Sus scrofa: one gene and its partner. The protein of the gene in region 2 purifies or fractionates together with the protein of the main gene of each other region. This does not show direct contact. Links are inferred from orthologs where the notes say so. Each region holds a gene or a part of one and is shown on either strand. Other genes may lie near its edges.

Region 1 (4,532 bases), on a different chromosome or scaffold from region 2:
ACAGGCGTGGGTGGCCACAGGCTGCCTTCCACGTGGACACGTCACCCTGAGGTCAAGCCCCAGGAACATCTCCAAGGGGCAGACCCCGCGAGCCCTGAAGCCCTTCAGCCCCCTCGCTGGGCTCAGCGTCCCGTCTGAGGCCTCAGCACACACAGGCCCTCCCAGCCCTTGGGCCTCCCAGCCGGGCAGCTTCCCATGTCCCGGTCCCAGCTTCTCCCATGTCCCGGCCTCTCTGGAAGTGAGGCGCCGCCTAGCCTGCCCCCCCTGCCCTCCTCCCTGCCTGACCCCCTCCTCCTGGGGTATATGTGTCTGGCCCCAGCTTTCAAGGATGTGGCTCCGGAGGCCAGGGTACCAACCAGCAGTCCGGGGACCGGGACGCTCAGAGAGGCCACAGGCAGAGGAGCAGGATGAGGCTGTGGGCTTCAGGCCGAGACCACCGCAGCGGATTTACGCCGCGCGACGGAAATGTCTCAGCACCGTCGCGAAAGACGGTGAGGTACTCTGGAATGTGCATTTATTTTTAATAAGACAAACATCTCCCCCAACAAATGACCTGCACATCGGGGGCCATGACTCATTCCGTCAACTCTCAACTACGTGCCACTCTCGGGAGCCGGAGAGAACCGCTCACAGCTCTCCTAGGACACCTTCGGCTCGCCTCCCTCCGCCGGGGGTGTCAGCCTCCAAACCAGTCGGCCTCAGATGTGCACGGTTCTTCCGGTTTCGAGGGCTAAAGCCTGAGAACGCTCCTCCTTCTGGCTGAAGGGTCTCCAGAGCCTCGAGACGGTGTCTGAGTTTCCGCTTGGTCCTGACGGGCAGCAGGAGTGGCTGCCCCAGGGTCACCACACCTGGCACGTCCGGATCACCTCCTTCAGGGCCGTCACTCCCTCCATGCTCTTGTCCTTCACGGCCAAGGCGAGGAGGACTGCTCTGTTTCCAGCTTCCTGAGACACAAAGGCCACCAGGTTCTTTGCAAAGACATGGATGAGAGGCTGGTGAGGGCAGAGAGAGAAGGCATTTTAACTGCAAGAAATCGCTTGTCTTCTTCTAAATTAGTTTTATTTTAAATTCCTCAATGGGTTTTATTACATTTACAGTTGTGCGATGAGCCTCACAGCCCGATTTTGAGCATTTCCATCCCAAGCCCCTGCCCGCCCCCGACCTGTCTCATTTGGAAACCATAAGCTTTTCAGTCTGTGAGTCAGTATCTGTTCTGCAAAGAAGTTCACTGTGTCCTTTTTTTTTTTTTTGTCTCTGTAGGGCCGCACCTGTGGCACATGGAGGTTCCCAGGCTAGGGGTCTAATTGGAGCTGTAGCCACCAGCCTGCACCACAGCCACAGCAATGCCAGATCCGAGCCGCGTCTGCGACCTACACCACAGCTCACGGCAACGCCGGATCCTCAACCCACTGAGCGAGGCCAGGGATCGAACCCGCAACCTCATGGTTCCTAGTCAGATTTGTTTCCGCTGCGTCACAACGGGAACGCCCCATTGTGTCCTTTTTTTTAGATCCCACATGTAAGTGACAGCATTTGAGGTTGGCATCTCACCATCTGCCTGACTTCACTTGGCGTGATAATTTCTAGGTCCAACCTCTTTTCTTCTTAATGCCTTCCTAGTCCCCCCGAGAAACCCGGCCTGGCTTCCAACCATTCAGTCACCACCTGGTAAGTTCAGTGTGACAGTAACTCAGGTTCAAAGAGACTCAGGGCACTCCAGTCATAAACGCACTGCTAAGGAGCATCATTAAACTTGTCCCTTTCGTGCTTCTGGTTCCTGTCTCTTCCGGCGATTTCTGCTCTGGAAGGACCCCTGAAAGTCTGCAGAGGCAACCTGTCAAGGCTCACAGATGGTCTTTCCAGAACGAAGCATGCACAACCAGTCATTACCATAATGTATCATGACAGGGTCAAACTGAGGGGAGGCCTACATCGCAAAATCAATACCTCCGCCTGTCTGCAGGATAAAATGCTGATGGGCTGGAAGCAGCAGCCACCAAGGGCAGGTGGATGCCCTCAGACGCAGAGAGGCCCCGGAAAATGCTGTCGAGGGCTGGTGGCGGTGGGCGTGGGGGCGTCTGCCCAGAGATGCTCCCCGTGTGTATTAACAAATTGTAGCCACCGGGCTCCCGCCCCCATCCCTTTACCTCGTCCTGCCCGAGAAGAACTTTGGTGGTGAGCACAGGCTTGCTGATGTCACTGGTCATGCTGCTGGATTCCAGGGAGACCAGGGTACCCATTTTCCCGAACTGGGTCACCACCACCAGGATGTGACTGCTGAAGGCTGTGCATACCACCTGGGTAGGGACGCCACACACTACCGCAGTCGTCTGTTTCGACATCACCAATGGTTTGCCTTCCATGGTTGGGTCTGTTCAATGGCCCCTTCAGCTTGTTAAGAATAAAGAGAGTAAATCAGCATCAGATGGCCTTGGGGCTCCAGAGTAAGTACCATTTGGCATTAAAACAGAAATACAAGTGGGCTCATTCAAAAGCCTGTATCTGTTAACCCTTACAGGCCTCATTTGCCCAAAACTTTCTAGATTCATTGAGTAGACACACTTGTATACATAAACTAGCCAGGCAAAGGAGGCAGGATGTCAAAATATGCTTTTCTTTCCTCTTCCACGCGCTTGGGGCCCCTGCTGTTAAGCATCACTGTGACCCCACCCCATCCCGAGGCTCTGAGTCCTGGGGCCCTCGGTGGTGCCACTGCCGGGGGGGTGAAGGGCTGAAAGCGCCGCAGGTGCAGGTGCAAAAGCCAGGCCAGAGCAGGTGGCCACGCTCCTGCCGTCCCTCCAGTGCGCCCATTGAGGTTCCGTTTTCTGCACTTGGGAAAACCACCGGCCCCACAGGAGAAGCAGCACGTCACCGAGCCAGGAGGCAGATGGCGACCGTGGCTGGGGCGCCAACCGTGGGGGCGCCCGCCCTCGCCTTCCCGCTCCAGCCTCCGCGGCCCCCTACCCTCCCTGCCGCCCGCCATGCCGCCCGCGCTCACCAGGCCGCGCCCGGAAATGACGCCGGTGGCGGCGCGGCCCCGCCCCCTAAGGCCCCGCCCCGCTCCCGAGCGCCAGACGCGCCCGCGGGCTCTGCGGCCCCCGCCGGAAGTGCAGCCCGCAGGGCTTCCGGTCGCGCCGGGGCCGCTGGGCTCTGAGGCGCTGGGCTGCCCGCCCGCCAGCAGCGACGGGCTGGGCACCGAGTCGCGCGAGGGGCTGCGGCCCCAAGCTCGGGAGCGCAGCCTCCAGCTTCTTCCCAAGGGCGGTCTCGCCCTTCGGCCCCTCGGCCCCTCGGCCCCGCAGTAGAGCGGCCTCCGGCTTCTCCCCAGGGGCGACCTCGGGCGCTCCTGACGGCGGCCCTGCTCCTCTGTCACCGGGGAGCCGCAGTGGGGTCCCTGGCCCCTTGGCCGTGGGTTCCAGGGCGCTGCTGCAAGCACAGGGAGCCGAGAGAAAACCAGGGCTGGACCGCAGTTAAGGCGCTGAAAGCGGGTTCCGCCCAGGGCGCTTCACAGAGCGCGCAGGAGACCCCGGTGTGGAGCCGGGCTCACCCCGCACACGGGTGGGCGGAAAAGAAAGGCGCACCCCGAAAGCTGAGCCTTACGTTTCGTGTGGCACACCAAGCTGAGGACCCGAGCCTGGGGCCCAGCATCTAACTGGGAGCCCGCTCCGTAGAGGTGAGGCAGGAGCCGGCACCTCCGGGCGGTTCCGCGCAAAGACCAGGTAGCTGGCGCGTGGGGAGGTCGCTGTCCGTTAAGGAACCAGACCTCTCCAGGCGTTTAGTGCTTGGAGTTCCCGTCCTGGCGCAGTGGTTAACGAGCCCGACTGGGAACCGTGAGGTTGCGGGTTCGGTCCCTGGCCTCGCTCCGTGGGTTAAGGATCCGGCGTTGCCCTGAGCTGTGGTGTAGGTTGCAGATGTGGCTTGGATCCCGTGGGGCTGTGGCTCTGGCGTAGGCCGGTGGCTACAGCTCCGATTAGACCCCTAGCCTGGGAACCTCCATATGCCGCGGGAGTGGCCCAAGAAATGGCAAAAAGAGAAAAAAAAAAAAAAAAAGAAAAAAGGAATTTAGTGCTTCTCCGTGAGTGGGGGGGGGGGGGGCGGGTGATGCAAAGTCTGGGCTCATTCCCATCAACCCCAAGTGATTTCAGCGTTCACGGCCTTCGTCCTCTGGGTGCACCGTCGTGGTGGCTGTAATGTGACAGCTTGATGGCTGCAACATCCTTTCTTCACTGATCGGTCGCGCGTGTTCAAAACCACAGGAGCCGGTGGGAATTTACAGCCGAGGAACGGCGTGGGGTCAGGGGGTGGGAAACTACTACGCGGAAACCTCTGGGTGGGGGGCTGGGGGTTTGGGGCTTCTAGCCAAGGAAACCTGGTGGGATTCTTGCTCAAGGCCGGCCAGGTATCAGACCACCTGGGGGGTGAGGACGGGTTACCGATCAGGGTATCACAAAAGCCCCAAGTGGAGGCCTCGCTGGAGGCGGGTTGAGAGCAGCTGGAGGCGGGTCTGGTGTAGGGGAGCGTCTTCGGCAGCATCC
Region 2 (4,068 bases):
AGAGAGAGATCTGAAATTCAGGATTTTCAGTCACTTCGTTATTATGCAATGGCAGCCAGGTAATCCTTAACTTCGGTGGGAGTAAGCCTCCTAAATCCGGCTTCATTGCAGATGCCAACTTCTATGTTATCTTCTGTCATTTGCCCTTCAAAGCTCTCCTGATGAAGAGGGAGGGAAAAGGTCAATTTCCCAGCAGTTAATTGTAAAATCATTACCAGTCCCATTGGTGGGTATTGAACTAACCTTTAGGGTTAATATGGCTGTGTGAATGGCATCTTCAAGTTCCAGATCTTCATTGTATCTAAAAAATTTGTTGATAAACAGTGTTTTATGGCCCTATTAACATTATTTATGACTTGCAAATGCAATGATAGCAACAGTATAAATCCAAAACACTCTTAAAAATATTAAGTTACAGATTAATTATTTCAGTCGCCTCACGGAGCTGGCTGTCCCCAGACAAGAAGCTGACAGTCGCTTCTTGATGTGCACACTGGGTGTGCAGTCCCATCATGAAGAATGTAACCCTAACATGAGTTTATTTTAGGAAACTTCCTTTAAGTGTAAAAATTTTAATGGATTCAGAGTGTGGTGGCGATATTATAATAATTTACAAAAGTAAGGCAGAGAATCAGACCCTTGCTAAAATTTCCTATGTCTGTTCTTATAATGTTTGGAAGACTCATAATAACATGTAAAAGGAAAAAGAAAGTGCTTTAAGATCCTAAGTTTACCAACTAATCATAGGTCTCAGATTCTAGTAATTTAAACATTATTGAAAATGTACTGAGAAGTTTCATTTGTTAGCTGTGATCAATTACAAACATTTTTCTTTCAAAACGCGGGACACTTTTTGATGGACGACAGCCATGCGGAGTCTAGAAGAGAGCTGCAAGGAGGTGAGAGCAGTTTGCCATGCTAGGCAGGGGCAGATTTTTATGCATCCCACATTTCACCAAGCACATAAATCCCAGCTTTAATCCACCTTCAACACCAGGTAGTTGGCTCCAAGATTTTTTTCTGTAATTGTCAAAATGTAAACTGTTAAGTTTTCCTCCCCAAATTTTTACTCCAAATCCAATCTTTTTTTTTTTTTTTTTTTTTTTTGGTGGGGACTTTTTTTAAGGAAAAAGTAAAATAAAAAAAACCCACAACATTTAGGAAAAAAAATGAGAATGCAGAAAGAGAAGTTCTTAAGAAATGAACATTACCACTTACCACAGTGAAAGCTAGGAGCTGGGATAGGGAGACGTTTGCTGTTCCATCAATAACTAGACTCCCATACACAGGAACACAACAAATTTATTCAGATTCCTGGTTATTTAAAGAGCTGAAATTTAAAGTATGTTCGCTAATGATTCTAGTTTTATGAGCCTACCTTTTCTCAAGGAACGTTTTCCCATTCACATAGTTCTTTCCCATTGCAGTGGCTTTCCAAGCAAAGTAGGCTCCCTTAATCAGGAAGGGAAGAGGAAAAATCATATTTTAAATCATTATTATATATGCCTTGACATTTATTTCTTGGTTCAATAATTTGTCTCTAACGTCTAAGGTCACGGAATTTTTATCGAGATGCAATGGAGTATGTCACAAAATATGGGGTTTTATTTTTTTGTTTTTTTAGGGCTGTACCCACGGCATATGGAGGTTCCCAAGCTAGGGATCGAATCAGAGCTGTAGCCACTGGCCTACACCACAGCCACAGCAGCAACAGATCTGAGCCGCATCTGCCACCTACACCATAGCTCATGGCAACACCGGATCCTTAATCCAGCAAGTGAAGCCAGGGATGGAACCTGCGTCCTCATGGATGTTAGGAAGGTTCGTTAACTGCTGAATCACGATGGGAACTCCTTTCATTTATTTATTTTTTTGAAAGGTTATTAGCAGGGTAAATGACAAAGAGGCATGAAGAGACTTTTGGAGGCTATGGGGAAGTTCAGCATCTTGATTGTGGGGATGGTTTTCTCAGGTATTTACATACATCAAAAGCTCATCAAACTGCACACTTTAAATATGTGCAATTTATTGTACAAAATTTATGTTAAAAAAAAGAAAGAAACTGAGGTTAACTCAGAGCCAATAATGGAAAGTAATATTTTAGGCTTACTAGAACTGAAGGGCTCCAAAAGTCTGTCATATGTATCTAAAAAATGGTGACCAACTTGCCATCGTCTTTGGTGACTATGTTAAAAAGACACAGTTTTGCATTAAAAATTTGCAAAGGTGTTGATATTTTGAAATCTAACATTAAGCAAAAGCAGCCAGCAGTATGTCATATACAACATGACCTCATCTGCTGAAAAAATATATACACACCCACACACACAGACACTGAAAGAAACACACCACACATATTTTAAAAGAAAGAACTGCTTTTTGGATACAACAGGGGCAAAAAGGGCAAAGATGAAAGCTGGATGCCAGTGCCAGTGGCTCTGATACCCACCAGGAAGAAAGGTTAGAAGGCTTTTAGCTTCAGAAGCTCAGATACAGAATAACAAAATACTTACTTTTATGACTTAAGTAACAGACAACCAATTTTTTTTTTTTTTTGCCCTTTCAGATTACAAAGCTAGACCAGAAGTTTTGGACTGAGTGAACCTGCCTTTATCTAACGACCTATAAGCTACGCAAGATCAGTTTTTGAGCACGAGTTTTTAATTCTGGGTCTCCTCACAGCAAACGTGAGTGACAGACACGCGACACACGTGGAAGAATGGTACCCTCTACAGACCCCAGCCGACTCGGACACCGATCTCCTGCTTTAGAGCAGACCACGCATCCATCTCGCAGACCATTGAATTCAAGACAGTAACAGCAATGTTTACGCAGGAGTCACACTCCAGTCAGACCTAAGAGTAAACTGAGGGCAAAGAGCACTGCCCCCTAGACCCTTTAATCTCTGCTTACAATTTTTTAAAAGAATTCCAGACTTGAGATTTGATAACAACTATTTCAACCAAAGTATGTGACGTTAACACAACAGAAGAACAGAGCACAGAACTAAAGGAGCTCCCTTAACTGAAGACTGTGAATTACCAGCACTTTAATGTGTAAGTGAGTATGTACTGCTTCGACGGCCCTAAATGAAAAACAAAATATTCTAATTTTTAAGCTTTTTATGGCTTCTATTATTATTCGATAGTCAAAGAGCGCTTCGACAAATCCCTCAGATATACCTAACGATACTTACAGATGGATCTGACTGAAATAAATACGGTCGTCCCTCATTCCAACCACAAATAAGCAAAGACACTCCAAATGGACGAACACCACTGAAGAAAGAAAAAGTGAGAATAACTTGGCATCTTCATGGTCTTTAAGTCAACCTAAGGTAAGAACTTATTAATACTCTCAAGTAAAGCAAATTATAAAGTAAACCGAATGAGACTTCTAAGCTCATTAAAAAGTATTTAAGGAGTTCCCGTTGTGGCTCAGTGAGTTAAGGACCTGACACCGTCTCTGTGAGGATGCGGGTCTGATCCCTGGCCTTGCTCAGTGGAGTAAGGATCCAGCATTGTCGCAAGTTGCAGTGTAGGTCCCACTTGAGGCTTGGATCTGGTGTTGTTCTGGCTGTGATGTAGGCTGGCAGGTGGATTTAACCCCTGGCCCAGGAACTTCCACGTGTGGCAGGTGCGGCCGGTGCGGCCATAAAAAGAAAAATAAAAGCATTTAGCACCTTCTAAATAAATTCAAAATGAAGCTGGTACTGAGGAACAATAGTCAGATCATTTTGATAAAGGTACTGAAATACATTTGGGGGTTAGTAAGTGTGGAGTAACAACACTTCATGTTCTAAAAAAATGACAGGTTTCAACAAATGCAGCTTTTCCGCTGGCTTTACACATCAGCAACCACCTCTGCACTACTTCGTCCATGTCACACCCACACTCGAGGACAGCGGCGTTAAAATGAATACAGATGTGTTAGAGTTACTGCTTTCATTATGGGCTGATGATCATTGCTGGTTAGAAGATCAATTTGGAAGCAGCCGTGACTGCCCATAAAGAAATGTTTCAATCACTCGCCAAAGGCCTTTAGCTAGAAGCTGCTTTCTGCTGTTAC

What was found. Proteins that work in one complex are often made in the same cells at the same time.
Region 1: the proteins of PSMA2 (region 2) and PSMG3 purify together in Homo sapiens (affinity purification with mass spectrometry; 4 studies listed by BioGRID and IntAct, with this or other methods). This does not show direct contact. The link is inferred for Sus scrofa from reciprocal best matches to the Homo sapiens genes PSMA2 and PSMG3.

The regions. Positions count from the first base shown.
Region 1 is NC_010445.4:1,051,688-1,056,219, forward strand, and holds PSMG3 (proteasome assembly chaperone 3), read right to left. Parts: upstream 3,030-4,532; 5' UTR 2,999-3,029; exon of another isoform or gene 2,965-2,998; intron 2,392-2,964; 5' UTR 2,364-2,391; coding exon 2,148-2,363; intron 993-2,147; coding exon 840-992; 3' UTR 498-839; downstream 1-497. UniProt on the Homo sapiens protein: Chaperone protein which promotes assembly of the 20S proteasome. May cooperate with PSMG1-PSMG2 heterodimers to orchestrate the correct assembly of proteasomes.
Region 2 is NC_010460.4:51,915,664-51,919,731, reverse strand, and holds part of PSMA2 (proteasome subunit alpha type-2), read right to left. Parts: intron 3,279-4,068; coding exon 3,197-3,278; intron 1,453-3,196; coding exon 1,379-1,452; intron 302-1,378; coding exon 244-301; intron 159-243; coding exon 42-158; 3' UTR 1-41.